4 linked regions of the Macaca fascicularis genome follow. The protein of the gene in region 1 interacts with the protein of each later gene in a pairwise test. Links are inferred from orthologs where the notes say so. Each region holds a gene or a part of one and is shown in the gene's direction. Other genes may lie near its edges. The genes, in order: CBX5, INCENP, PRR14 and SUV39H1.

Evidence for each region.
Region 2: the proteins of CBX5 (region 1) and INCENP interact in binary tests that used the Homo sapiens proteins (3 or more experiments, as listed by UniProt). The link is inferred for Macaca fascicularis from reciprocal best matches to the Homo sapiens genes CBX5 and INCENP.
Region 3: the proteins of CBX5 (region 1) and PRR14 interact in binary tests that used the Homo sapiens proteins (3 or more experiments, as listed by UniProt). The two-hybrid records come from large-scale screens. The link is inferred for Macaca fascicularis from reciprocal best matches to the Homo sapiens genes CBX5 and PRR14.
Region 4: the proteins of CBX5 (region 1) and SUV39H1 interact in binary tests that used the Homo sapiens proteins (3 or more experiments, as listed by UniProt). The link is inferred for Macaca fascicularis from reciprocal best matches to the Homo sapiens genes CBX5 and SUV39H1.

The regions. Positions count from the first base shown.
Region 1 is NC_088385.1:61,086,776-61,093,535, reverse strand, and holds part of CBX5 (chromobox protein homolog 5), read left to right. Parts: intron 1-4,901; coding exon 4,902-5,002; intron 5,003-6,760. UniProt on the Homo sapiens protein: Component of heterochromatin that recognizes and binds histone H3 tails methylated at 'Lys-9' (H3K9me), leading to epigenetic repression. In contrast, it is excluded from chromatin when 'Tyr-41' of histone H3 is phosphorylated (H3Y41ph).
Region 2 is NC_088388.1:11,875,277-11,882,036, reverse strand, and holds part of INCENP (inner centromere protein), read left to right. Parts: intron 1-1,608; coding exon 1,609-1,660; intron 1,661-2,478; coding exon 2,479-2,533; intron 2,534-2,650; coding exon 2,651-2,768; intron 2,769-4,020; coding exon 4,021-4,072; intron 4,073-4,479; coding exon 4,480-4,597; intron 4,598-4,688; coding exon 4,689-4,820; intron 4,821-5,276; coding exon 5,277-5,288; intron 5,289-6,760. UniProt on the Homo sapiens protein: Component of the chromosomal passenger complex (CPC), a complex that acts as a key regulator of mitosis.
Region 3 is NC_088394.1:28,810,724-28,818,143, forward strand, and holds the start of PRR14 (proline-rich protein 14), read left to right. Parts: upstream 1-2,649; 5' UTR 2,650-2,996; intron 2,997-3,454; 5' UTR 3,455-3,503; coding exon 3,504-3,526; intron 3,527-3,662; coding exon 3,663-3,831; intron 3,832-4,143; exon of another isoform or gene 4,144-4,306; intron 4,307-4,612; coding exon 4,613-4,731; intron 4,732-4,802; coding exon 4,803-4,992; intron 4,993-5,257; coding exon 5,258-5,301; intron 5,302-6,143; coding exon 6,144-6,253; intron 6,254-6,557; coding exon 6,558-7,146; intron 7,147-7,283; coding exon 7,284-7,353; intron 7,354-7,420. UniProt on the Homo sapiens protein: Functions in tethering peripheral heterochromatin to the nuclear lamina during interphase, possibly through the interaction with heterochromatin protein CBX5/HP1 alpha. Might play a role in reattaching heterochromatin to the nuclear lamina at mitotic exit.
Region 4 is NC_088395.1:48,849,184-48,856,605, forward strand, and holds the start of SUV39H1 (histone-lysine N-methyltransferase SUV39H1), read left to right. Parts: upstream 1-3,389; 5' UTR 3,390-3,553; coding exon 3,554-3,605; intron 3,606-4,480; exon of another isoform or gene 4,481-4,504; coding exon of another isoform or gene 4,505-4,523; exon of another isoform or gene 4,524-4,652; coding exon of another isoform or gene 4,653-4,677; intron 4,678-6,151; exon of another isoform or gene 6,152-6,610; coding exon 6,611-6,756; exon of another isoform or gene 6,757-7,422. UniProt on the Homo sapiens protein: Histone methyltransferase that specifically trimethylates 'Lys-9' of histone H3 using monomethylated H3 'Lys-9' as substrate. Also weakly methylates histone H1 (in vitro).

The DNA.
Region 1 (6,760 bases):
TGATTCTCCTGCCTCAGCCTCCCAAGTAGGTGAGATTACAGGCACACGCCACCATGCCTGGCTAATGTTTTGTATCTTTAGTAGAGACAGGGTTTCACCATCTTGGCTGGGCTGGTCTCAAACCCCTGACCTTGTGAGCCACCCGCCTTGTCCTCCCAAAGTGCTGGGATTATAGCCGTGAGCCACTGCACCCGGCCCTTTTTTTTGTTCCAGTGATAGCATTTGCTTTCAATCGTTGATAATCTTTTTTTGCAGTGAAAATCATATAATATACAATTAAATATTTTATTTATTTTTATTTATTTATTTTTGAGATAGAGTCTTGCTCTGTCACCCAGGCTGGAGTGCAGGGGCATGATCCCAGCTTACTGCAACCTTCACCTCCTGGGTTCAAGCAATTCTCCTGTCTCAGCCTCCTGAGTAGTTGGAATTACAGGCATGTACCACCGCAGCCAACTAATTTTTGTATTTTTATTTTTATTTTTTATTTATTTATTTTTTTGAGATGGAGTTTCACTCTTGTTGCCCAGGCTGGAGTTCAATGGCATGATCTTGGCTCACTGCACCCTCCGTCTCCTGGGTTCAAGTGATTCTCCTACCTCAGCCTTCCAGAGTAGCTGGGATTACAGGCATGCACCACCATGCCTAGCTAGTTTTGTATTTTTTTTTTTTTTTTTTTTGAGACAGTCTCGCTCTGCTGCCCAGGCTGGAGTGCAGTGGCGTGATCTTGGCTCATTGCAAGCTCCGCCTCCCGGGTTCACGCCATTCTCCTGCCTCAGCCTCCGAGTAGCTGGGACTACAGGCGCCCGCCACCTCGCCCGGCTAGTTTTATTTTTGTATTTTTTAGTAGAGACGGGGTTTCACCGTGTCAGCCAGGATGGTCTCGATCTCCTGACCTCGTGATCCGCCCGTCTCGGCCTCCCAAAGTGCTGGGATTACAGGCTTGAGCCACCGCGCCCGGCCTAGTTTTGTATTTTTAGTAGAGAGAGTGTTTCTCCACGTTGGTCAGGCTGGTCTTGAACTCCGGAACTCAGGTGATCCACCTGCCTTGGCCTCCCAAAGTGCTGGGATTACAGGTGTGAGCCACTGCGCCTGGCTCAATTAACAATTTTAAAGTGTACAGTTCAGTGGCATTTATATTCTCTCGATCTATTAGTTCTACATACTTGACGTACAAAATTAATTTTTGTCTTTTGAATCTTCTTCAGTTTGGGAAGTGTATGAAATTTTGGTTTGATTTAGTTGCTTTAATCCTTCTGATTTTTAGCTCTCAAGTAAGTAGAATAAGCACTGTTATTGCCTCTCTCTTTTTTCATCTGTGTGTGGGCGCATAAATACACACACTCTTCCATCTCCTCCCGCCCCCAGCTTCCACTCCTTTCATTTATTTCAAGGTTATGAAGCCTTTTGTGGTGAAGGATGTATCATACACTTTACATTTAATAAAAGCATAAGTCTACTTCGGAATCTTCCAGCCTTCCAGAGTAGCAGCCACAATCATCCCTATTTATCTTCATTGTAATTAGATATATACCTTTCTAGAACATTAGTTCCTAACCCTGTCTACACATTATAATCACCTGGGGGGTACGTTGAAAAAATTTCTAGTGCCTAAGATGCACCCCAGACCAGTAAAATTAGAATTTTTTTTTTTTTTTTTAAGACAGAGTCTTGCTTTGTCACCCAGCCTGGAGTGCAGTGGCACGATCTCACTGCAACCTCTGCCTCCTGGGTTCAAGCGATTCTCCTGCTTCAGCCTTCCTAGTAGCTGGGACTACAGGCACATGCCACCACACCTGGCTAATTTTTTGTATTTTTAGTAGAGACGGGGTTTCACCATGTTAGCCAGAATGGTCTCAATCTCCTGACCTGGTGATCCAACTGCCTCGGCCTCCCAAAGTGCTGTGATTACAGGCATGAGCCACCACGCCTGGCCTCTGTCATTTTTAAAAAGGAGCTGTCTGAATAATCTGGCTTAGAAGCACTGGCCAGTGCAGAGAATTTTTGTTCTTAGGCCAGGTTCTGAAGCTGCCAACCTTGAAAACAACCCCCACATGTCCCTTACATCATAATGTTCATCTGGGGCCCCTGATAGCATTCTTAGCAGTACTGGCTGCTGTCAGGTAGACAGCTGAGATGATAGGTGATTGTATGTTTTAAAGGTACAGGAGGGGATTGTGTATCTTTTTTAAGACCCCTGGAGAAGAAATTTGTTAGTTTGCATTATGCCTGATTTAAGATTACTGCCTGTATGATGATTTTAGCATTTTCTTCGCCCCGGCTCCTTTTCAGCAACTTGAACATTTTTCTTCCATTTGCCTCCCCTTCCCTCCCTATGTAGCAAACTATTTTCAGTTGCCAGTTATGATTTACAACTTAGTCCATGTGCCAGCATTCCAGCTGTGAGCAGCTGTGTGAACATCTGGGAACTTCTTCCCCGTAAGCGCCCCTAAAAGAGGCTATGTTTTTAAAAGTCAGTATCTCTCATTGATCCATGCATGGAATTTCCTTCCAATTGTGGATTTTGGTATCTTTGGGGACCACCCGGACCCCACATGCTTTGTATGTCTCAGAGGAAAGCAAGTGAACATAAGATCAAAGAGATTTTATTATGAAAATCAGGCAGTAGATATTTAGTTCATTTGGGCACCTCTAAATCTTTTTTTTGTGTTGTCACTGGAGAGGCTAACATTATCTTCCATAATAAAGTTTTTAAAAATTCTCTAGTTTAGGCCGGGTGTGGTGGCTCACACCTATAATCCCAGCACTTTGGGAGGCTGAGGCATGTGGGTCACTTGAGGCCAGGAGTTCGAGACCAGTGTGGTCAACATGGTGAAACCATGTTGAAAATACAAAAATTAGTCAGGCGTAACTGGGTGTGATGGCTCCCGCCTGTAATCTCAGCACTTTTGGGAGGCCGAGGTGGGATGGATCACCTGAGGCCAGGAGTTTGAGACCAGCCTGGCCAACAAGGTGAGACCCCCATCTCTACTAAAAATGGAAAAATTAGCCAGGTGCAGTGGCATGCACCTGTAATCCCAACTACTCGGGAAGCTGAGGCAGGAGAATCACTTGAACCTGGCAGGCGGAGGCTGCAGTGAGCCGAGATTGCGCCACTGCACTTTAGCCTGGGCAACAGAGGGAGACTGTCTCAAAAAAAAAAAAAAAAATTACCTGGCTTGTATAAAATTTTGCTTTTTGGCTCTCATCAGTATTATTACACCTGGATTAGAACCTGTGCTCCTTGTCTAGATTGTATTACTGCATTTAGACCAAGTTTCAGTACTCATCTCATCAATTATCAAATTTTCTTCTTTCTGTCTTAAGAGACAGGTTCTCACTATGTTGCCCACCATGGAGCACAGTGGCATGATCATAGCTCACTGCAGCCTCGAACTCCTGGGCCCTGGGCCTCAGCCTCCTGAGTTGGAGTAGCACACTTCAGGTGTGCACCACTGTGCCCAGCTAATTTACAGAGACAGTTGCCTATGCTGGTCTCCAACTTCCAGTCTCCTCCTGTCTCAGCCTCCCAAAGTGATGGGATTACAGGCATGAGTCACTGCACCAAGCCAGTTTTTTGTTTTTGTTTTCTTTTTTGTTTTTGTTTTCAATCACAGTCCAGTTCTGCCTTCTAATGCTAGCAATCATCTACATCCAGAGGGGATAGGCATTGACCCAGGGCCTTCTGTCCAACCAAGCATATAAGTATTGGTGTTTGTGATCTCTGAAATTTTGCTATTTAATAGTATTGGCCTTGCATAATTCTTACCTCTATTCTTTCATAAATATAGGCGACTGTGAAATGTGTTAAAATTATTGGTTAGTGTTAAGGTAAACTAAAAGTCTAAAAAAATAAAGATTGAGAGAGAGGTAGTATATTTGAAGTTCATAAGATGAAAAGATATAGTTAGGGTAAACAGGGTATTCTTTAACATTTCAGAAGCTTATTTACAATATTAAGGAGATTCCAAGTGAGTGGGATTAGAGGAATTCCTAGATGTTGACTCCAGAGTATCTTTTTTTTTTTTGAGACGGAGTCTTGCTGTGTTGCCTAGGCTGAAATTCTGTGGTGCGATCTCTGCTCACTGCAATCTCCGCATCCCAGGTTCAAGCAATTCTCCTGCCTTAGTCTCTCGAGTAATTGGGGTTACAGGCACCTGCCACCACGCCTGGCTATGTTTTTGTATTTTTAGTAGAGATGGGGTTTCACCGTGTTGGCCAGGCTGGTTTTGAACTCCTGAGCTTGTGATCCGCCCGCCTCGGCCTCCCAAAGTGCTGGGATTACAAGCGTGAGCCACCGTGCCTGGCTGACTCCAGAATATCTTATAGGACATTAGAGACTTTTAGGGTTCACCTCTAATCTTCTGGAGGAATTCCAGGAAAGATAATCACATCTTTTTTTTTTTTGAGACGGAGTCTTGCTATGTCGCCCAGGCTGGAGTGCAGTGACCGGATCTCAGCTCACTGCAAGCTCCACCTCCCGGGTTCACACCATTCTCCTGCCTCAGCCTCCCGAGTAGCTGGGACTACAGGCGTCCGCCATCTCGCCCGGCTAGTTTTTTGTATTTTTTAGTAGAGACGGAGTTTCACTGTGTTAGCCAGGATGGTTTCGATCTCCTGACCTCGTGATCTGCCCGTCTCGGCCTCCCAAAGTGCTGGGATTACAGGCTTGAGCTACCGTGCCTGGCCGATAATCACATCTTACAAAAATATCTCTTGGCATCACTGTCACTTCATTGTCACTGTCAGTACTTAGTATTAAGTTCTAAAAATTTTTCTGAATTGGTGACAGAAATGATATCAGGAGATATTAACTTAGGTTGTGTTTTGTTGAGCCTAGAAACAGGGAGTTTCTTTACTCTTTCCACAAGCTGTAACCTTTCTTCGTCTTCTATTTATAGCAGAGCAATGATATCGCTCGGGGCTTTGAGAGAGGACTGGAACCAGAAAAGATCATTGGGGCAACAGATTCCTGTGGTGATTTAATGTTCCTAATGAAATGGTGAGAGAGATTTGGCTTCATGTTACAATTGTGTTTCTTTGCCAGTGACTTGAATTTGTGCGGAAGATAGGGTGGCAAGATTGTGTATTCCCAAACCATGAATTTTCAATGTCAGAGATTTTTTTTTTTTAAAACAGTGTTTCGCTCTTTGTTGCCCAGGCTGGAGTGCAGTGGCGCAATCTCACTCAGCTCACTGCAACCTCCGCCTCCCAGGTTCAAGTGATTCTCCTGTCTCAGCCTCCCAAGTAGCTGGGATTAGAGGCGCCCACCATCATGCCTGGCTAATTTTTGTATTTTAATAAATAAATAAATTAATTAATTAATTTTGAGGCAGAGTCTTGCTCTTGTTGCCCAGGCTGGAGTGCAATGGTGCAATCTTGGCTCACCGCAACCTCCACCTCCGGGTTCGAGCAATTCTCCTGCTTCAGACTCCCAAGTAGTTGGGATTACAGGTTATGCACTGCCATGCCTGGCTAATTTTATATTTTTAGTAGAGACAGGGTTTCTCTTTGTTGTTCAGGCTGGTCTCAAACTCCCGACCTCAGGTAATCTGCCTGCCTTGGCCTCCCAAAGTGCTGGGATTAAGGCATGAGCCACTGTGCCTGGCCCATTTTTGTATTTTTAGTAGAGACGGGGTTTTGCTGTGTTAGCCAGGCTGGTCTTGAACTCCTGGAATATCAAGAGATCCTTGCTGATACCAATTATTGGTGTTAAATGGGAATTATGCTTCAGAATGGCTTGCTATTAAGCCAAATTATATTAGATTACATATCAGAAAAAAAGGTAACTTTGAGGTAGAAAATATGTAAAGGTTGGGTGCAGTGGCTCACACCTGTAATCCCCACACTTTGGGTGGTCAAGGCAGGCGGATCGCTTGAGGTCAGGAGTTCGAGGCTAACCTGCTTAACGTGGTGAACCCCCATCTCTACTAAAAATACAAAAATTAGCTGGACGTGGTGGCGCATGCCTGTAGTCCAGCTACTTGAGAGACTGAGGAAGGAGAATTGCTTGAACCTGGGAGGCGGAGGTTGCAGTGAGCTGAGATCTAGCCATTGCACTCCCGCCTGAGTGACAGAGCGAGACTCCGTCTCTTAAAAAAAAAAAAAAAAAAAAATATATATATATATATATATATATATATATATAAAAACAACATGACTTAACCATTTGTTTACACAGTTCTGAATTACATACTGTAAGACTATGGGCCTGTGACCCTGGGCTAGACATCAAATGAGGCTTTCTGCCATCCCTGAGGGCCAAACCTGCTGAATAATGTCTGAAAGAGAAAAATAATCTCAACAAAAAGCATTAAAGCTAATACTGGCCAAAGCACAAGTTATTTCATTCTATAGAGAGAGAATGGCGCTAAGATGAAAAGGAAGTAGTTCTTCTCAATTTGATTTCTCTTTTTTTGAGATGGAGTCTGTTTTGCCTGGTGTGTAGTGACGCGAACTTGGCTCACTGCAACCTCCGCCTCCCGGGTTCAAGCGATTCTCCTGCCTCAGCCTTCCAAGTAGCTGGGATTACAGGCACCTACCACCATGCCTGGCTAATTTTTGTATTTTTGGTAGCGATGGGGTTTCGCCATGTTGGTCAGGCTGGTCTTGAACTCCTGACCTCAAGCAATCCGCCTGCCTTGGCCTCCCAAAGTGCTGGGATTACAGGCGTGAGCCACTGCACCCAGCCCTAATTTGATTTCTTAAAGACAGGGTGATTTATGGTGTGGCCCTCACTACCTCTCTGTTTCCAAGTATT
Region 2 (6,760 bases), on another chromosome or scaffold:
GTGTCAGTCATTCTTTTAAATAATAATAGTGTTCCAGGTGAAGAAGCGGCTAGTGCAGCTGGCGGCTTAGAGACGAGCGCTTTTCGCGGAGAGTTGCGTTTGCAGCAACAGGCGTTCGGCACACTTCCCACCTCAGCACACAGGAGAGTAGAAATGGCATGTACTTGAGTTTAGATTTAGTAAAATTAGGACTTTTGCAGGCGCGGTGACTCACGCCTGTAATCCCAGCACTTTGGGAGGCTGAGGCAGGTGGTTCACTTGAGGATGAGTTTGAGACCAGCCTGGCCAACATCGCGAAACCCTGTCTCTACTAAAAATATAAAAAATTAGCTGGGTGTGGTGGTACATGACTGCAATTCCAGCTAATTGGGAGGCTGAGGCACAAGAATCGCTTGAACCCAGGAGGTGGAGGTTGCAGTGAGCTGAGATTGAGTCACTGCATTCAGCCTGAGTGACAGAGTGAGAGTCTGTCTCCAAAAAAAAAAAAAAAATTAGTACTTTTTACACCTTCCTCAAGGACATTCCTCAGTGAAACTGGACATCTCTCCTTCCTGTGAGTGTGTGGTCCGAGGATAGTGTTTGATGCTCTGGCCTCAATTGGGGCTGAGGCTTCAGCAGCTTGTTCCTCATTGCTTTTGTGCCCTCAGGGCAAGTGTCAGCACAGTGAAAGGGGGAAAGTAATATTTTAGTATCATGATTTTAGTATCATGATTAGTTATGACCTCGTGGATCCCCCAAGGGTCTCAAGGACATCCAGGGATCAGAGAATGCAAGCTGAGAACCACTGGCCTGGACATCCTCCTCCTTTGTCTGTAAACTCCTCCTGACCAGCTCAGGTCCCCCTGTCATAGGCTTTTAAAATTCTCTGCTCTGGACCAGGCGCGGTGGCTCATGCCTGTAATCCCAGCACTTTGGGAGGCCTAGGCGGGTGGATTACTTGAGGTCAGGAGTTCAAAACCAGCCTGGCCAACATGGTGAAAGCCCGTCTCTACTAAAAATACAAAAATTAGCCAGAAATCGCTTGAACCCAGGAGGCGGTGGTTACAGTGAGCTGAGGTTCCACTGCACACCAGTCTGGGCAGCAGAGAGAGACTCCGTCTCAAAAAAAAGAAAAAAAATTTCTGTGCTGTGTTCCATCATTGGCCATGCTGGTGTTGTTGACGGGACTATTTGATGATTGTTATCTAGACCAGACAGTGGTTCTGTTTTGCTCACCGTTGGGGCCCTGGGGCCTGGCTCAGGTCCCAGTACACTGTAGGCACTTGATGAATATTTGTTAACAGAATGAGCTGCTTTGTCTTGGGCCCCATGCTGGGAGTTTGGGGCCTGGAGCTGCAACAGACATTGTCCCTCTTCTCAAGATATTCCCAGCCCAGTGAGGATGCCCAGCTGTGCCCAGATGGGCATGGGAAGACCATCTGGGAAGCAGCAGGGGACATGAAGCCAGGAACTCCGATAAAGACACTAGGATGAGTGCTGAGGGGAGGGTCCTGGGCATGGCAGGGCTAGTGATGGGAGCAGTGGCCAGGTCCTTGCTGGAACCTGGTCCCCTGGACCCCTTCGAGTGGTTTCTGGTGACATCTTTTGTGCCTTGCTTTTCCCCCTCAGGTCACAGTTACCTGGAGAGGCTTCTGAATGTTGAGGTGCCCGAGAAAGTTGGGTGAGTTCAGTTCCAGGGCTTTGCAAGTGGGCAGGGCACACCAGGACAGGGAGCCAAGGTGAGCACCAAGGCTGGAAGCAATTCCTGGGCTGAGCCTTCCCCACTGATCCCTGACTGCCCAGGGGCTGCCCGTTTCCCCTGTCTGACCAGGCAGTGAGTGACGTGAGTGTTGGTCGCCTGGTCTCCTTGCAGCGCCCGTCAGTGTTGCTGGTTGCCTGGCCAGACCTGACCCTGGGGTGTGAGCTCCAGAGGTTGGGGGTGAGGCGGAGCTGCCAGCTGCCATTCAGACTGGCTGGGGTAGGATAGTGGTGCTCCAGGATTACACCCAGTGCTGCTTCTGGCCGGGACACAGACTCCTTTTCCTGGAGGCCGTGTCCTGCCATCACTAAAACCAGCCCCTCCCTCCTTCCTGCAGAGCAGAGGGTTTGTTCTTGGGATGGGGAAACAGGGTGACTGGGCAGACCTGCTGGCCTTGCCCGCCCCATGGTGAATGGAGAACAGACCACAAAAGAGATGCAGCTCACCTGGGTCCAAGAGGTGGAGGTGGAACTGAGGACAGGGCTCTGTGTCAGCTGTGTGGTGGGGTGCTTGGGAGATGAAGCCACATTCTGAAGCTGACATCCCTCGTGTGCCCACGGAGCCATGGCTTGGAGCTGCCATCCTCCCATCCCGCAGGGGCTGTGGGTTGGTGGCCCTGGCCAGGGCACCTTGTGTTGACATTTTGAGTCCCCCATCCCTGGAGTAGGAGAGGGATTCCCTATGGGGGAGGGCTTGGACTAGCTGGGCAGTCCCCACAGAGTCCCCTCTTCTGTTTTCAGTCCTGAGCAGGAGTCCCCCGAGGAGGCTGAGCCGGTAGCGGCAGCTGAGCCAGAGGTAAGGCGGCTGCCTGGGGAAGGGAGGACTCACCTCTGGGGCTCCCGCTCTTCCCTGCGGCCATCCTGGGCCTTGGGTTCCAGGTCGAGACCCCTAAAGCCTTGGTTCTTTCCACAGGTCCCTGAGAACAACGGAAATAACTCGTGGCCCCGCAATGACACGGAGATTGGCAATAGCACACCCAACCCGAAGCCTGCAGCCAGCAGTCCGGAAACGCCCTCTGCAGGGCAGCAAGGTGAGGCTCCCTGACCTGCCGCCTTTAGTGCCCAGAGCCACAGCGGGCCTTGGTGGCCTCGGCCTGACCTTCTCTCTGGGGATAAGGAAGCCCTATTTCTGGGCCAGTAGGCTAAAGAGAAATTAAACCTGGGGGTGCAGAGATCCCTTTTGAGTCTGTAGGTTTCACCTCCCACTGTTGGGCTGGAGCTGTCACTGAGTGCTGCATGGGGGGCTGTGGCTGGTTGGGACAGGAAGCAGGGGAAGGGGCTGCATTGGGGTACGGATATGAAGAGGCCAGGTCAAGGCCTTGACCTCGACTCCAGGGGCCAGTGGGAAGAGCCGTGGGCTGGGAATTGAACACGCACCTGGCCTCCTGCTTTGCCTCTGCTGCCAGCTCCTTTCTGACCTTTGTCGGTCCATCCCCGTCTAAAGAGGGCTGGAGAACAGTGGGTTTGGGCGTGTCCCAGGGTCCTGCTCACATCTCCCTGAGAAGGGTGCTTCTCTCTGGTGAGAAGGGTGCTTCTCTCTGGTGAGAAGGGTGCTTCTCTCTGGTGGGAAGGGTGCTTCTCTCTGGTGGGAAGGGTGCTTCTCTCTGGTGGGAAGGGTGCTTCTCTCTGGTGAGAAGGGTGCTTCTCTCTGGTGGGAAGTGCACTATAGCTATGAGATCTTGAACATAGCCTCCTCCTCTTTGCGACGTGGTCAGGGACAATGGTCATGCCAGCCTCACGGCCCTCAGGGCTGCTGCGGGGAACTTTTGGAGTGACGTGCACTTTCTCCTAGCAGTGAAACGAACATACTGACCCTACACCCCGCATGTTGACCCTGCAGCCGGAGCCACCCCCTCCTCCCGTCATGGCCACACCAGCCGCATGGCCCAGGAGGGGTGGGATTTAGAATCTGTGCAAGGGGCTTAGAGCTCCTGCTTCTACAAGGTGTCCACACACTGTTCTTAGTGTCAGAGGTGGGTGGGGCACATCTGGGGCTGCCGCCTCGACGGGACCGTCCCACCCTGCCTTGCCTACCATAGAGCCAGGCACTGGCGGGGAGGGGTTCATGAGCTGCGGGTAGCCAGGCCCTGGTATCTGTAGATTCCTCAAGGCTAGTCAGGGTTAAGGCTGATACGTCTGCGTTTGGCCACCCCGGAGCTGCCAGGAAGGGAGCCTTGCTCACTGCCAAGGCTGCTGCCCAGGGACCCCTTCCCCCTAGGCCCCCATTCCTACCCTGCCGCCGCCATCATTTCTGCAGCCTTGCTGAAATTGCTGTTTTCACAGAGGCCAAGACAGACCAAGCAGATGGACCCAGAGAGCCACCGCAGAGTGCCAGGTTTGCATCAGGGAAGGGGTGTGCGGGTTCCTCTGAGGGCCCTGGAGGACATGGCCTTGTGTCCTTGCTCAGGGAGGGTGGATCTGTGCTCGGGGGCTTCAGAGCCTCTCTGCTGGGGTGTGGCCTGGTGTTGAGACTTAACCAAGGAGGCGGCTCCATGCTGTGGATGAGCGCCAGCCTGGGAATAGGGCGAACCAATTGTTGACCCCGTCTTAGGGCGGTCTCCTGGCCATGTGACCTTGGACTGTTCACCTCCCTTCCTCTGAGTGGGCAGCAGAGGGTTGGTTAGGCTCTGCAGCCTCTTTCAGCCTAGAGGCCGGTGGCCTGGGCCCGGAATTGTTCACCGGGGTGACTTTTGATGGGCTGTGGTGGGCAGCCCTGTGATGCCGCCGCCTGCGCCGTGGCAGGAGGAAGCGCAGCTACAAGCAGGCGGTGAGTGAGCTGGACGAGGAGCAGCACCTGGAGGATGAGGAGCTGCAGCCCCCCAGGAGCAAGACCCCTTCCTCACCCTGCCCATCCAGCAAGGTGAGCCAGGCGTCTGCCCTGCCCTAGAACCCTGACCCCCTTCGGTACCCTGCCCCGCCTGCCCACTCCTGACCCTGGTCCTCGTCTGCAGGTGGTGCGGCCCCTCCGGACCTTTCTGCACACGGTGCAGAGGAACCAGATGCTCATGACCCCGACCTCAGCCCCCCGCAGCGTCATGAAGTCCTTTATTAAGCGCAACACTCCCCTGCGCGTGGACCCCAAGGTGAGGGGCCTGTGCCCAGGTCGGGCTTTGTGGGAACCAGGCAGTGTGGCTGAAGGTCCAGTCTGTCCCCTAAGATACTGGGAGTAGTGTGAGCCTGGGCGGAGGCAGGTGTGGCCTGGCACTGTTAGGGGCCAGCTGAAGCCTCTGTGGCCACCAGCTGTCTTGACCTCTGGGGGCACTGTCCTGCACTTGACCTGTGGGCTCTGGACTGCAGCCTGGAGGCTCGGCCGGCTCAGTGTAAGCCCTGGAGATCTGTGTGGTTAAGGTGAGGAGTACTTGTGGACACCTCCACCGTTGGGGTGAGGGTTGGGTGACAGGAGAGGCGTTGGGGGTGCTGCTGGCAGGAGGGCGGGCCCCACACACGCTTGCTGGCACAGCTGGGCATGTGGCCTGCCTGGCAGGACGTCCCCCGGCCTGGCATTAACTCTTACCTTTTCCCTTGTCTCCTCTCCACAGTGCAGCTTTGTCGTAAGTAAAGCCTTTTCCTGTCGGTAACCCGCCCCACCTAGCACTTACCCGCTGTAGCCCCTTCCCTGCGTAGCTGACAGCACCTGTAGATGCACTAACATCGTAAGCGGGAGGGGAGCCTTAGGAAGAGAGTGGGACGGTGAGGAGTGCACTGGCTGGAGGCGCCCAGCAGTTCTGGGCCCCAGCATCTTTCTCTGCCCTCCCTGCCCTTGACTCTGCTCCTAGGAGGAAGCGAGGGGGTGCGGCTTTTCACCAGGGCTACAGCTTGACGTGTTCCCCACAGCCACCTCCCTGCCTCCTCCCCAGCACCAGGCCTCCTCAGGGTCTGTGGGTCTGTGAAGAGAACAGACAGGTTGTCTGTGGTCCCCAGAGCCACTGAGATTTATTGGTTCACAGACCTGAGCAGTAGCCTTGAGGCAGTGGGATGACAGGGGAGGGCAAGTGTGGGTCTGAGCTGAGGTGGAAGGCCGGGTCTGGCTGTGCTGGGCGACAGCAGAACAGTGAGTGGTAACATCTAGAAACAAGTCGCAGAAGCTGTTCTCTTCTCAGACACCTCAGAACTGAGCTGAGCCAGGCTGGCTTCTGAGCAAGGACCTTTGGATGGGGACATGCTTAACCCTCAGCCCCAGCTCCCCGTGCCATTTGCCAAGGCCGCAGCCGCCTCATTCCTTTGGTTCCTGCAAGCCTTCTGAAGAGTCCTCTGCAGTCACACAGGGACACTTGTGACAGCCAGGAGGGCTTCTGCCTCCAGCTGAGGGCCTCGGCAGGTGGGAGGGGCTTCCCAGCAGCTGGCCAGGTGGGCCCTGAACTGGCTTCTCCCCATGGAGGCCTGTTCCCCTCTTGTTGGAGAGGGTGACTGACAGTAACCTTCCAGTGGCCTTACCACCTGTGCCCTACCCAGACCGATCAGAGCCCTGCAGGTTTCATGGGGTGATAGAGAAGACCAGGAAGTGGCTCTTCCCTGCTTTGGGGATCCCAGGTCCCTGCACAGGGCATCTAGTGGGTAGGGACAGTCCATAGTTAGGAGCCCAGGGGCCTACAGAGTCCTTTTGGACTGCATCCTGAACATTAGGCTACAAGCCTCTGGGTCTTGTTTAAATCTATGGACAAGGTTGATATTTTCTCAGCGTTGCAATTTAGCAGCAATTGACCTGGTTAGGTTTAGGCTGCAGGTTCCCATCTGCCTTCTGGGGACTGTGGTTCCAATGTTAGTCTCGATTTTGAAGATGGCAGTGCTGTTTGGACTTTTCCCGGGTGTGTGTGCCAGTCAGCAGTCAGCCTGGGACCTGGAAGGTGGTCTGTTAGTTTAGTTCTCAGCCTTTGCTGGGATAATTAGGGTGAGATCCTAGCATCTGCAGCTTGGAGCTGAGCCTATTCGTTTGTCAATTCCCTGCAGTATCATTTTCCTGATCTCCTCTGGGACTTCCTTTTCTGTCCTCCAGCTGGGAAGCTGGTGCTTTAGTTACCTTGTT
Region 3 (7,420 bases), on another chromosome or scaffold:
TCAGCAGCATACACTGGGGTACACCCCACAGTATGTCCACCACCTGTGTAGGGAGTGGGCAAAGTAGAAGTTGTTGAAATGGAAAGTCACAAAAAGAGCAGAGGTGAGACTGCAAGACCATGAGGACTCACATTTGCTGGCCTAGGCTAAGGGCCAAGACTGCCACAGTCTACCTTACATTTCCATTTGATGAATTCTAGCACTCCAAGTTAGGGTCACACTGGTGGGCTCTTCCTACCAAATACTCAGGTCCAGGGCTTTTCTTTGGACTACATCTTTTGCCCTTGGTGTCACTGACTTCAAGAGACCTAGAGAATCAAAACTCAGATTAGGGTTCGGCGTGGTGGTTCATGCCTGTAATCTCAGCACTTTGGGAGGCCAAGGCAGGCCGATCACTTGAGGCCAGGAGTTCGAGACCAGCCTGGCCAACATGGCGAAACCCCGTCTCTACTTAAAATACAAAAAACTAGCCAGCCATGGTGGTTAGCGCCTGTAGTCTCAGGTACTTGGGAGGCTGAGGCACGAGAATCACTTGAACCCTGGCGGAGGTTGCAGTAAGCTGAGATGGCGCCACTGTACTCCAGCCTGGGTGACAGATAATCTCAAAAACAAACAAATAAAAAATACCTAAAAACTCAGGTTAGGCCTGCTCTGCTTTTGAAGGTTTTTCCTGCCCTGGGGCCTGAAAAGCACTTGTGGGGCTTAGCTCCTAATTTGGCAAGGTTGGAAGAATCTCCAAGCACTCACAGCTGAATGAAACATCACTGTACCTCTTCAGGCACCAGACTGCCAGGCCTGATCCAGAGGGAGAGAGAAGGCCTCTACGTGGAAGACCCATGGCCTGCTCCCACCAGAACTCTGAATGCGTTTCCAGAGGGCCCAGTGGATCTCCTGTTCCAGAGATGCTGTAGTCCTGGAAGAACGTCTCCCTGCCTGAGTCCTTAGGGACAGAGCTGGGGAGCCTCCATTTCCCACATAAGCTCTTTCCATTTCATTTCCATTTCCCGATTATGCTCTTTCCATATCATCCCTTGTCTGTCTGTTTTGAGACAGGGTCCCTGTCGCCCAGCCTAGAGTGCAGTGGCGTGATCATAGCTCACTGCAGCTGCGAGCTCCCAGGCTTAAGAGAGCCTCCCACCTCAGCCTCCTGAGTAGCTGGGACTACAGGCTTACGCCACCACGCTCGGCTTATTTTTTGTTTTTTGTTTTTGTAGAGATGGGGTCTTGCCATGTGGCCCAGGCTGGTCTTGAACTCCTGGCCTGAAGTGATCCGCTATCCTCTGCCTCCCAAAGTGCTGGGATAACAGGTGTGAGCCAGCACACACCCGGCCCTGTTTTATCACTTTCTTCACTCAATCCCCTGAGAAAGAATTATGACACCTAGACCAGGAAGCACCTCTGCACCTTATCTCGGACCCAGGATTCTAGGCTTCAGGGTCTCTCGTTCTGTTAAGAAAACAAGATAAGGACTGGGGCTGAGCGCTCACGCCTGTAATCCCAGCACTTTGGGACGCTGAGGCAGGAGGACTACTTGAGCCCAGGTGTTCAAGACCAGCCTGGGCAAAAAGGCGAGACCCTGCCTCAAATAAAAAATAAAATAAAATAAATAAAAAAGAAAAGGAGGACTGGTTTGGATCAGGGAATCTGGGGAAGGAGAACTAGCACAGACACGGGCTTTGGTTAAGCGGTCAGGTCACCTTCATAGTGCTACAAGAAGCCACTACATGCCCACTTCCTCCCCACCAATAGCCCAGCTCCCGGTAAACGGTCCATGACGCAGCTCCTCCAAGCAACAGCGTCTCACCCTGATCCCTTACTCCTCAGAACTATTTACACCTCCCCCATCATGAAGGCCCCTTTTGAGAGAGTGGTTCCTGAGAGCCGGGCCCCACGAGCAAGCCAAGCTATATTCTTGGCCTCCTGCAAAGACGCCCCTGTCCTGTAGCCCTCTGCGCGGACCGCGGGCACCCCCACTCCTCCGGAAAGAAGTACCGTAGACAATACTCAGGGGAAGTCAAGCTCAGCGCCCCCAGTCTCCTCCCCACTTCGGCTCGGCCCCATATCTCCAGGACAAGGCGCCAGCAACGGAGCCACAGGCCGCACCAGCCCGTCTTTGATCCCGGATATTCGGAGTCAGGGCCTCCGCCACCCACTCCTAAAATCGGACCCTGGGTTGTGGGAACCCAATTTAGGAACGCAGGAAGGTGCCGGAAACTTCCTCAAACGAGGCCACTCTAGGAAATTGGGAATTTCTCATATCGTTAGCACTCAGTCGACGTTTATTGGTCTAAGAACCAAAGAACCGGAAGATGCCCTTAAAAAACGTGGCGGCACTCTAGCTTCAATCGGTTGCCTCAACATATCAAGAAACCTGGCATTGTATGTGGCCCTCAAAAGATGACGCCACCCAGTCCACCATGGTTCAACGAGGACTAAGACATCTGCCCTCAACCATCATGGCGGCGCCACTCAGTTTGGCTTCCTGCCCCTAGGGATGATGGCCGCCAGGTGGCTTCACTTAGTTTTTCACCACCCCGGAAGACGGGGACCGGCGATTGGGCGGTGTCCAGAGGCCCCGATAAGAAGGCCATCGGCGGTTGGGCAGCCTTGGGTAAGCTTGGTTTTAAAGGAGCCGGAGGTGGGAGCTGCGGAAGACCCGGGATCCACGGGAGGCGGCGGTGAGCAACGCTTTGGGGAGGGCAAGGAGTGGCTGGAGAGGGCGGGGGTGGGGCGGGGAAGGAAACTTCTGAACCATCTGGTCTTGGGCCGGGGGAGACCGCTGGGCGGGGACGCAAGGAGGGAGGGGGCGTTTGTGGGCGGGACCTCCCGGGATTGGCGTGAAGGGGGTATCTGCTTGACAGTGGATCCCTGGGGATCTAGGCTGAGTTCGAAGATGCTCCAGCTCGGGCCGCCCCTGTCTGATAGGAGCTTTGCGGCGCCGAAGCTCACAGGGGAAGGAGAAGCCTCGCCCGGCGTCTGATTGGCGGAACCGCGCTGTAGGATTCTTTCCTCAGGGATCCAGTCTAGGGGATCTGGTGGGAGGGAGGGTCGTCGATGTGTGGAGTATTGCTTTGGAGTCCTCGGCCACTCGCTGTGAGAGGAGGAGGATCACAGAGGGATCCAGCGGAAATAGCCTCCCAGGACCGGGATCCCCGTGGATCCCGGGGCACAATCTGCAGGGACAAAGGCCTCAGGAGGCTCGGGCCGCGGGAGAACTGGGGCCGCTGCATTCTGGGTTCTGGCGGCAGGTGCCAGGCAGGGCGCGAGTGATCCGCTGATCGAGGCGGTGGCAGCGGGAGGACACCCGCTCCGGGCGACCGACCGGGGGCGCCCTTTCGCGCCCCAGGGCTGCGGCCGCTGGGCTACGGGGAGCCGCGGGCGGACCATGAAGGGCGGAGCCCCAGGGAAGGGGCCAACCCTCACCCCCCGCTCCCCCGCTCCCCCCTTACCCCAGGCCGCAGCCTGGGATTCCCCAGGGACCCCCTGGAGCCGCCGCGTCTCCCATGGACTTGCCCGGGGACCCCAGGTGAGAGCGCACCCGGCCCGCCTGTCTTGACCCCGGGAGATGGGGATCCTGGCGGCCGTGCCGGGAAACTACAGAGCCAGCGACAGGTTCGGGCGACAGGTTCGGGCGACCGTCCTCTGCTTCTTTCACCCTCCAGCCCGCCTAGCCAGGCGCGTCTGTGCCGCCAGCCTCTGACTCGAGCATTATGGGGAGCCAGGAGCCCGAAACGGCCGAGGCTGCAGCCCCCGGGGGCCCCTTCTCCCCTGGAAAAGGCCTCTCGGCGGGTCCTGGCCGTGGTGCTGGAAGATATCATGGCTGTTCACATGGTGAGCCCCCTGAACCGAGAGACCCTCTATTCTCCCCTGACTTTCCTCACTACCAAACTCGGGCCAGATCGCTACTGAGGATAACTGAAGTCCAAATCCATCATTGTTGTACCCATCCCTCAGGCAGCCTCCCTCATGCTAGAGTCCTGCTTGGCTCCCACTTACTCCAACCTAGAATTGGGCAGTGCCCGTTCCCCCCACCAACCTTTTTGGGATGGAACCACATCCCTGTAACTCTGAGAAACTCTTCTTCTTTTTTTTTTTTTTTTTTCTATCTTTTTTTTTTCTATCTTTTTTTTTTTTTTTCTGTAGAGACAGGGTCTTGCTATGTTGCACAAGCTGGTCTCAAACTGGCATCAAGTGATCTTCCCATCTCTGCCTCCCAAAGTACTGGGATTACAGGCGTGAGCCACGGCGCCGGGCTGAAACTCTTCTGCTTTCTTCCCAGCCCAGCCTCCTTAGGAAGCAGGCTGAGGTCTTTGACTCCACTGCACAGATAAGAAAAACTGTGGCCCAAAAAAGGCAGTGACCCACCCTAGCTCACCCTGTCTGTTTCCCTAAACAGCGTGGGTGAGATTACCCAGGTCCCACACCTGCAGTTTAGGACTCTTAATATCTGGCCCCTAATTCAGTCCAATTCATCTCTTCTCTGGGGATCCGAGTGAATTCTAGCCCTAATCTCTGTTATGTTTGTGGCTCAGGGCACTGTTAGGCACAGGGAGACCTTGTCCCATCCAGCCTCATTCCATCACCTTGCTCTTGACACCTCTTTCTCTTCCAGGGCCCCGTGGTACCCTCAAAGGAGACCTCCATCCCACAGCACCACAGCCGTCAGGATCCTGTCCACATGCAGCCTCCTGCCTCGCCACCCCGGCAGGCCGGGTGGTCCTCGAAGGCCAGGTGAGCATGGCAGGATGGGGGTAAACCAAGGGCCCAGCTGAGCCCTTCTAATCTTCCCGTTCCCTCCCTAGGCCTCCCGATCCTCTGTGTTTGTGTCGCGAGCCCTTGAGCCGCGTCCACCGGACCTCTTCCACCCTGAGGCGGCGATCAAGAACAACCCCTGGCCCAGAGGAGGGCCCTTCACAAAAGGTGGACCAGGCCCCCCAGCCCACCCTGGTGGTGATGCTGGAAGACATTGCCAGTCCTAGACCCCCAGCTGAGGTATGGGAACTGAGGGTATGGATATCAAGGGTTCTACTGGGTTCCAGCAGGGATAGAAGAAGGGTGGGAGGCCTGAGTCTTAGGTGGATTTTTCTTGGGGTGAGGAGAGTGGCATTTTAGGTGGCAGGCACTACCTGAGCAAAGACTATATAAAAACCTCTTTGGCATGAACCCAAGCAGGTATCTGGGAACTGAAAGAGTCAGGATGTGGGGCACTAAGGAGGCTTCCCTGCCTCCCCACAAACATTCCCCTATTTTTATCCAGGGCTTCATTGATGAGACCCCCAACTTCATCATCCCAGCACAAAGGTGAGAGAGCTGGAGTAGGGATTCTCAAAGGATCCAGGCAACAGCCATCATCCAGGTAGCCAGAGCTAGGGGCATCGGGACTGATTGATCCAATCCTTCCTTGTGACATCTTAAAAAGTCTTAAGGGGCCAGGCACACTCACGCCTGTAATGCCAGCACTTTGGGAGGCCGAGGCAGGAGAATCGCTTGAGCCCAGAAGTTTGAGGCCAGCCTGGGCAACACAGTGAGGCCATATCTCTACAAAAACATTGTTTTGTTTATTTATTTGTTTATTTTTGAGACGGAGTTTTTGCTCTGTTGCCCAGGCTGGAGTGCAATGGTGTGATCTCGGCTCACTGCAACCTCCGCCTCCTGGGTTCAAGTGATTCTCCTGCCTCAGCCTCCCCAGTAGCTGGGATTACAGGCATCCACCACCATGCCTGGCTAATTTTTGTATTTTTAGTAGAGACGAGGTTTCACCATGTTGGCCAGGCTGGTCTTGAACTCCTGACCTTGGGTGATCCACCCGCCTTGGTCTCCCAAAGTGCTAGGATTTACAGGTGTGAGCCACCAAGCTCAGACAAAATATTGTTTTAAATTAGTTGGATGTGGTGGTCCTTGCCTGTAGTTCTAGCCACTTGGGAGGCTGAGGTGGGAGGATTGCCTGAGCCCGGGATGGAGTTCAAGGCTGCAGTGAGCTGAGATTCTGCCCCTGCACTCCAGCCTGGGCCACAGAGCAAAGCTCTGTCTCAAAAAAAAAAAAAAAAAAAAGAAGAAGAAGAAGCCTTAAGGGATAGGGGAGTTGCTGGCTCAGGTGGGATACCTGGAAGTTCCCCTAGCCTTTACTTTGCCCTTCACCCCAGAGCTGAGCCCATGAAGACAGTTCACCAGCCAACACCTCCACCCGGGGACCGAGAACCCCCATTCCAGCCATCTGCTCTGCCTGCAGACCCTCCAGAGAGCCCACCACCAGGTAAGGACTTGGGTAGAGATCAGATGAGACTTGGGGGTCTAGAACATCCTAGTTGAGCTTGGAAGTGTCAGGTACAGAGGTGGGGATAGGGCTTACCCTCCCAGGGCAGGGCATGGTATATGAAGATGGGATGATGATGTCAGAGACTTGAAGCTCAATTCTTAAATGCAGAACTTACTGTTTTAGGGGTGGGCTAATTCCTCTGTGCACAAAGTTGAGCATGCAGGGAGGGGCTGAGGCTACTGAGGAGGGGCTGAGACACTGCAGCCAAGGAATATCCACCTGTGACCTCTCCTTTCCTCAGCCCCAGATCCTGCTCTGGAGCTCCCATCCACCCCACCACCGTCCAGCCTTTTACGCCCCCGCCTCAGTCCCTGGGGCTTGGCCCCGCTCTTCCGTTCCGTCCGCTCCAAGCTGGAGAGCTTTGCTGACATCTTCCTCACACCCAACAAAACCCCACAGCCCCCGCCCCCGTCCCCCCCAATGAAGCTGGAGTTGAAGATCGCCATCTCAGAGGCTGAGCAGTCTGGGGCTGCTGAGGGCACTGCGTCTGTCAGCCCCCGACCCCCCATCCGCCAGTGGCGGGCTCAGGACCACAATACCCCAGCACCTCTTCTTAAGCCCTCTCTGGGCCGAAGCTACTCCTGCCCTGATCTGGGGCCCCCTGGCCCAGGTACCTGCACCTGGCCACCTGCTCCACCCCAACCAAGCCGGCCACGGCCGCGGCGGCACACTGTGGGTGGTGGGGAAATGGCCCGAGCCCCGCCACCCCCTCGGCCCTGTCTCCGGAAAGAGGTCTTCCCTCTCGGAGGAATGGGAGCCTCCCCTTCTCTCGCCACATCTTGCTCGTCCACGGCATCCACTTCCTCCTTCTCCGAACCAGCAGAACCCAGGTAGTGCTCTCAAAAAACCCCCCTCGAAGCCTAGCCGCAGCCTGGTCCCAGCCTCCTTCCCTGAGTATCCAGTGGGCAGGAGACGGGGGATAATGCAGTGAATCCTGTTTGTCCCTGAGCCTTGACCTTCTTGGCAGGTTGGGTTCAACCAAAGGGAAGGAGCCAAGAGCCTCAAAGGACCAGGTGCTTTCAGACCCTGAGACCAAGGTAGGCATTCAGATTGGGTAGAAGAGACTAGTGGGGGCCTGAGCCCATGTCACTCTTTCACCCTCTG
Region 4 (7,422 bases), on another chromosome or scaffold:
AATTTGTAGGTGGAAAGGGGAACTCCCCCAAGCTAGAGAAGGAGGGAGTCTCAGGTTTCCTTTAATTCATTTTTTTTTAACCCCCAACACCACTCCCCACCCCACTCTGACCAGGTCCCCAGATGGGCACTGAGTCTACGAAGGATCAGTCAGTATCATTTATCCCTACTCCCAGTCCCCCACGGAAACCTCAGAAATCCAGCGTTCTGGTTGGCTGGGCGAGGTGACTCACGCCTGTAATCCCAGCACTTTGGGAGGCCGAGGTGGGCAGATGACGGGGTCAAGAAATAGAGACCATCCTGGCTAACATGGTGAAACCTCGTCTCTACTAAAAATACAAAAAATTAGCCGGGCGTGGTGACACATGCCTGTAGTCCCAGCTACTTGGGAGGCTGAGGCAGGAGAAATGCTTGAACCCGGGAGGCAGAGGTTGTGGTGAGCCGAGATCACACCACTGCACTCCAGCCTGGGCAAGAGAGCGAGACTCCGTCTCAAAAAAAAAAAAAAAAATGTGGTACACACAATGGAATACTATTCGGCCATAAAAACAATGAAATCATGTCTTTTGCAGCAACATGGATGGAACTGAAGGTCATTAATTTGAGTGAAACAACTCAGAAACAGAAAGACAAATACTGAATCTTTTCACTTATAAGTGGCAGCTAAATAATGTGTACACATGGGCATAGCATGTGGAATGATAAACAACAAAGACTTGGAATGGTGGGGAGGTGGGAAGGAAGTAGATGATGAGGAAATTACTTAATGAGTACAATGTGCATTATTCAGGCTATGGACACAGTAAAATGCCTGACTTTACCACTACACAATGTAACAAAATTATGCTTGTGGCCGGGCGCTGTGACTCATGCCTGCAATCCTAGCACTTTGGGAGGCCAATGCACATTATTCAGTTGATGGATACAGTAAAATGCCTGACTTCACCACTACACAATGTATCCATGTAAAAAAATTACACTTGTGGCCAGGCGCTGTGGCTCATGCCTGTAATCCCAGCACTTTGGGAGGCCAATGTACATTATTCAGATGATGGATACAGTAAAATGCCTGACTTCACCACTACACAAAATATCTGTGTAACAAAATTACACTTGTGACCTGGCATAGTGGCTTACGCCTGTAATCACAGCACTTTGGGAGACTGAGGCAGGTGAATCACTGGAGGCCAGGAGTTTGAGACCAGCCTGGCCAACGTGGTGAAACCCCATCATCTCTACTAAAAATACAAAAATTAGCCAGGTATGGTGGCACACGCCTGTAATCCCACCTACTCAGGAGGCAGAGGCAGGAAAATCGCTTGACCTGGGAGGCAGAGGTTGCAGTGAGCCAAGATCACGCCACTGCACTCCAGCCTGGGCGACAGAGTGAGACTCTGTCTCAAACAAACAAAAAAAAATTACACTTGTACCCAATAGATTTATACAAAACAATTAAATGCTTCTGAGATCTGGCTAAATGGTTGCTCAGCCTGCATTCTGGTTCCACATGTAGGTCTGCTTGTGAAAACTCATTACAGCTGGGCGCGGTGGCTCACACTTGTAATCCCAGCACTTTGGGAGGCCGAGGCAGGTGGATCACCTGAGGTCGGGAGTTCAAGACCAGCCTGACCAACATGGAGAAACCCCGTCTCTACTAAAAATACAAAATTAGCCAGGGTGGTGGCACATGCCTGTAATCCCAGCTACTCGGGAGGCTGAGGCAGGAGAATCGCTTGAACCCGGGAGGCGGAGGTTGTGGTGAGCCGAGATCGCACCATTACACTCCAGCCTGGGCAAAAAGAGCAAAACTCTGTCTCAAAAAAAAAAAAAAAAAAAAGAAAAAGAAAACTCATTACAGTGTTCACCCCTGGTCTATGTACCCATCTGTATTTGTGTTACACTCCAATCTGAGGTTTACATTACAACAGGTCAAACCTGTGAAGCCTGAAATGAATAAAACCTTATATTGGCCCCAGCATAGGGCAACGCAGTAGCCATTAATTTAATGCTGAATGAACAGACAAATGGCTGGAGGTGGGACACGGTAGCTCTGAGATGGCCTCTTAACTTTTGAGGTTTCCTGAAAAAGTGCTAGTCCAGAATGATTCACTTTCCAGATGAGCAGGAGACACCCACCCCAAGGTCACTTACTCGAGGTTTTACAGACCAGTTTAAGAAACAGCCGGGCGCGGTGGCTCACGCCTGTAATCCCAGCACTTTGGGAGGCCGAGGCGGGCGGATCACAAGGTCAGGAGATCGAGACCACGGTGAAACCCCGTCTCTACTAAAAATACAAAAAATTAGCCGGGCGCGGTTGTGGGCGCCTGTAGTCCCAGCTACTCGGGAGGCTGAGGCAGGAGAATGGCGTGAACCCGGGAGGCGGAGCTTGCAGTGAGCCGAGATCGCGCCACTGCACTCCAGCCTGGGCGACAGAGCGAGACTCCGTCTCAAAAAAAAAAAAAAAAAAAAAAAAAGAAACTGCCTAAGGACAAGTAATTTAGTAAATGGCAGAGCCTGGATATGAGTCCAGGTAGTCAGGCTCCAGAATCCAGGCTTTTGCCCACTACTTTATAGTGGTTTGGGGCACCACCGGCCACAGACCCTTTTGTCTCCCCCTCAGATCCAGACAGGCAGAGGTCCTGTCTTAAATCACTCTTGTGGGTTGGACAGGTCTCCTGGACACCCAGGAGTGGGAGAGTCCTGCTGCCCGAGGAGACTGGGGGTACATGAGGACGAAAATCTGATTCTGCTCGAGAAGGAATAAGGGAGGGAAGGGGATGCATGGTGGGACTTCTGTTCCTGTCTGTCCCACTCAGGGCAAGCTAGGGCTGACGGAACCTCAGACCAGCCAGTCACTTCTTAATGAGCTCACAGCTGGACTAGCAGGCAGACAGAATATCTGTTTGGTTAACTGTATAACCGTTTGGTTGACTACAGAACTCATGGAGTGACAGGGAGAGGGGGCAATTTGAGGAAGTGACAGCGCGGTTTCCTGAACATCTAACTGAATGACAGCCTGCCTAGGACTGGCTGGGGCTGGTAGCCTGACAGTGGAAAAGACAGGCAGCCTCCTGAGGACCTTGCAGGCTGACTAACTGATGGTCCGTGGTGCTACTGCCTGCCTGGGTGGCCAGATGTTGTGAATGACTATTGTCAGGAATCACAGCTGGCCTGGGGGAATGTCTAGATGTTATACTGTCTGGCACTGTGTAAAGGAGGGCCACCTGGGGAAACCTCAGGCTGACTGATCAACAGATCCGTGGCTGCTTGCTAGGCAGCTGTATCTGGTAATCAACTGTCCACGCTGCTCGAATCACAGCATGCTGGAGGGCCTGGCTGGGTGCTCTGACTGACTGATCACCTGACAGACGGTGCGGTCAGTCGGATGCTGAGAATGACTGACGATGTGATGAGGGGCGGATTGAACGAGTCACAGGCCAGCTGGCCAGCAGCAAAATCAGCATAACCGTCTGACTCGATGGCTGTACGTGGTTACGGACTGTCTGCTCTGATAGAATCTCAGCTTCAACGCATCCGAGGAGACTGATTGACCAATGGTGGGGATGAGTCGCCTGAGAAATGACAGACTGGCTGACCCACTGACAGGTGGTGTGGAGGCTTAATCCTACCTCTAGTTGCTGTGACTATTTGCTTTGAGGGCCTAGCTGGGTGTTGTGACTGATCATGGTGTGAATGAGAAGTAATCTGAGGGAAAGACAGTGATCAACTGATAGTGTCCGACAGGGCTGTATTAGATGCTGACAATGACAGCTTGCCCCGACCTAATCACAGCCCGCCTGGGGGCATGGCTGGATGCTGCAGTCTATGAGAGGATTTAGCCAGAGAGAATCGCAGCTGGTCCCAGGGCTATGGTGGGTGGAGAGGAGGACTAATTGAGGACAGGACGGTCATAGGGAATGATAAGGCTGGCTGGCTAACAGTGCTGTCTGCCTGCCTCCAGGGAGTCGCCGCTGGCCCGGGGGCACAAATGGAAACCGGTATTGACTGCCCGGCAGTGTGGATGGGGGCCGGGGGTCTGATTAGGCATCTGTCTGGTGCGACCGCCTGAGCGGTTGGATGGGGCGCTAGTCCACCTGGGAGCCCCGGCCTACTTGGGGTTAAAATGTGATGACGGGCTGACTGACGGTGATAATAGGGAGTATGACAGAACTCAGGAGCCACTGTGACTGGCTGATAAGGTGATTGGCTAGCAGTGTGACAGACAGACCAGCGCACGGGCAGGGCCTCGGGCAACTTTAGCTACCGCCACTGTCGCTCCCGCTGCCGCCGCCGCCCAGACGCACTCTGGGAAAGTGCGGCGAGCACCCGCCTCCGGGACCGAGCCGGGCGGCAGGGAGGGGTTCGGTCACGGCTCTCCGGTTGGTCCGCGCGGGTGCTGCGAGTCGCGAGCCGCGGCCAATAGGCTGCGCGTTCCCGGCCACGCCCGCGCGAGCTCTCTTCTCGCGAGGCCGGCTAGGCCCGAATGTCGTTAGCCGTGGGGAAAGATGGCGGAAAATTTAAAAGGTGAAGCAGTGGAGACAGAGGCGCGGGCCCGCTGGCCGGGCCGGGTGGGCTGGAGGGGTGGCGTCGCCGGCTCGGGACCCCGGCGTCTGAGGCCCCGGCGCCGGGAGCCGGAAGCTCGGCGCGGAAAGGATGGAGCTCGGGGAGCGCGGGCCTGGTGCGCGGGGCTGGGCGGGGCTGAGGGGAGGGGGCGCGTACCTCGGAACGCAGCGGGCCTGGGGCTAAGTGGGGACGCAGGAGGGGGGCGCGCGCCGCAGATCGCGACCGGACCAGCGCGCGCACGCGCGGGGGCTTGTCGGGGAGGCCGCGCCCGCGCGCGGGAAAATCGGCCCCCGGTGACCGTTACCCATTCGGTGTCCACGCGAGACGCCGGAAGGGGAGGGAAGATAAGGGGGACAGACCCCCCCTTCAGAGTGCGGGGACAGGGAACTCTTCAGGGGGAACGTATCGCCTCTCGGCGTGATGGGGGAAGGGTTTGGAATAGAGGATCCCCCAGAAGAGGGAAATGGGGCCTTCCTAGTAGGACAGCTGGACTCCCCCATGTGCAGGGAAAGAGGGGTGACTCAGTTATGTTGGGGGGCCCCTCTATGTGACAAAAGCCGCAGGGAGGACGGGTTCCACAAGTTGGGGGACCTCTGAGGGGTTCAGGAGAGTCCACCTGTGGCCAGTTCCGGAGCCAGCAGCTGGAGGTATTAGTTGGGACCACTTAAGTGGGGTTTCGAATGCAAGTGAAGGAAGGGGTTTGCCAGGAGAGGAAAGCGTGGGCACATGCGGGCTCGGTCTCCACTTGATCTTGCCTAAGTGGGGGGGGTATGGCTTGCACACGAAATAATTTTGAAAAGCTCTTGTACGTTTTTAGGTTGACATCTAGAGTTTAAGTGTGATTTTTGCAATGGGAGGCAGAAAATATTAAACATTTTAAAAAGATGAAGTAGGATGAGGACTGACTGCCCTTGGAATGTTTTGAGACGTGATTTGATAAAATGGCTTCTAAAGCACATTGATTAAGAATGTGCCTTGAATCAGAAAGAAATCTATTTTTTAAAATCTCTGTCTTACAAAATTTTGGCAGCCCCAGAAATATACCAGGTATATTTAAAAGAATCAGTGTCACTAATCTGTACTGCTTTGCATATAAATTCAGAGCATAACCCTTTGGATGAGCTTTACTCTTCACAGAAAGATGGATGAGACAGAAAGTCAAAATGTAGTGTGAAAAAATATACCTTGTGGATTTAAGGCACCCAGATTGATCATTTAAGGAGCCTTCCTGTAATGTAGTATCATTCCACAATCTCTTGCTCATCATTCCGAAATCTAAAAAGCCCTGAAAACTGAAATCCTTTTCTTAAATTTGGCACCATTTATGGCAAAAGTAGATTATAAAGTGGAACTATTCTGTGAGGCTATTTTATATCTCTATTTCTCCTCTTTAATGTGGGAAATTCATACTTTTGCTGCAGGACAGTTAATGCATTTGATTATAGCTTGATGTCCCGTGGCCACGTTGGGGGTGTTAGGTGATGTATCCTAGAACTAGTCTTGTAAAATCCAAAAAATTTTGAATTCCAAACCACATCTGGCCCAGGAGTTTGAGATAAGGGATTAAAGACCAGTCTTTCCAGTTAGCCTTTGTTTGGTGCCCTGGAGGTTTTAATCTTGTCCTCCCATCCGCGCCCACCGCCCCCAACACCTCGGGGCATTGCATCCTACTGAGATGGGGGGTTGTTCTCTTTCTTTTGCAAAGTGGAGAGAAAGGTAGTCAGGTCCTGAACCCAAAGCAGGTTTGCAGGCAGTATTAGGAATGACATGGAGTTTGAAGCTCTGGAAATAGATTCCTTTAGGACGATTCATGTTGCAAACCCCCCTCAGAGGTCTGCTGCTCCAGGGGCAGCCTTGGGCAGTGAGCATTGGGGTTCAAAGCACATTTCTGTTGTAGAACAGTCTCAGCATTGGGGAAGGCCTGTGGATTAAAGTTCCCTGACTCTTAGGCAGTCTTTGGGATGTCCCAGGGAGGATTTGGGGTCCCCTTTGACACCTGGCCTTGTCAGACTGCCCAGTAATAGTTCTTTCTGCCCTGCTTGATCCAGGCTGCAGCGTGTGTTGCAAGTCTTCTTGGAATCAGCTGCAGGACCTGTGCCGCCTGGCCAAGCTCTCCTGCCCTGCCCTCGGTATCTCTAAGAGGAACCTCTATGACTTTGAAGTCGAGTACCTGTGCGATTACAAGAAGATCCGCGTGAGTCTGGGGTGACCATGCTCTGGGAGGGGACAGGTCACAAGGAAGTTAAGTGTCCTGCCCTCTTGTCCCCAACTGCCCACATCTGTTTGCAAAGGGAATTTTCTCCTCTGACCCTGGAAAAATAGGATGAACAGACCCTTTTATCCCTATGTTACAGATAGGGAAACTAAGTAGCTTTCTGATGGGGGCAGGAGCCGGAATGAATTCTCTTCCCATCTCCCTAGGAATACAAAGTAACTGCAAAGGTTGAGATGCTGAACCCTAGAGTGGAAATGTCAACAGCTAACGGCTATTGAGCACTTTCAGTGTGCCAGGTGCTTCCTCTAGGAAACTCATTTAATCCCCTAACAACTGTGAAATGGGGACAGTTATTGCCAGAAGGGGGAGTGGCAGGATGGTTAGGAGAACAAACTGGAGTCAGCATGCTTGGGTTCCAGTCCTGGTGTGTTTACCTACCCAAACCCTCAGTACTTCATTTCCTTTGTCATAAAAGGGGGATGACTAGGAGCATCCACCTCATGTCGGGTTGTGAGGATTAAGTTAGTTAATAATACATGTAAGCTGCCTAAAACAGGCAAGGACTTGTCAGGGTCCAGGTGAGCCATAGTGGTGGCAGTGATGATGGTTTGTCACTGGATGTATTTTGAAGGTGGGGCTAACGGG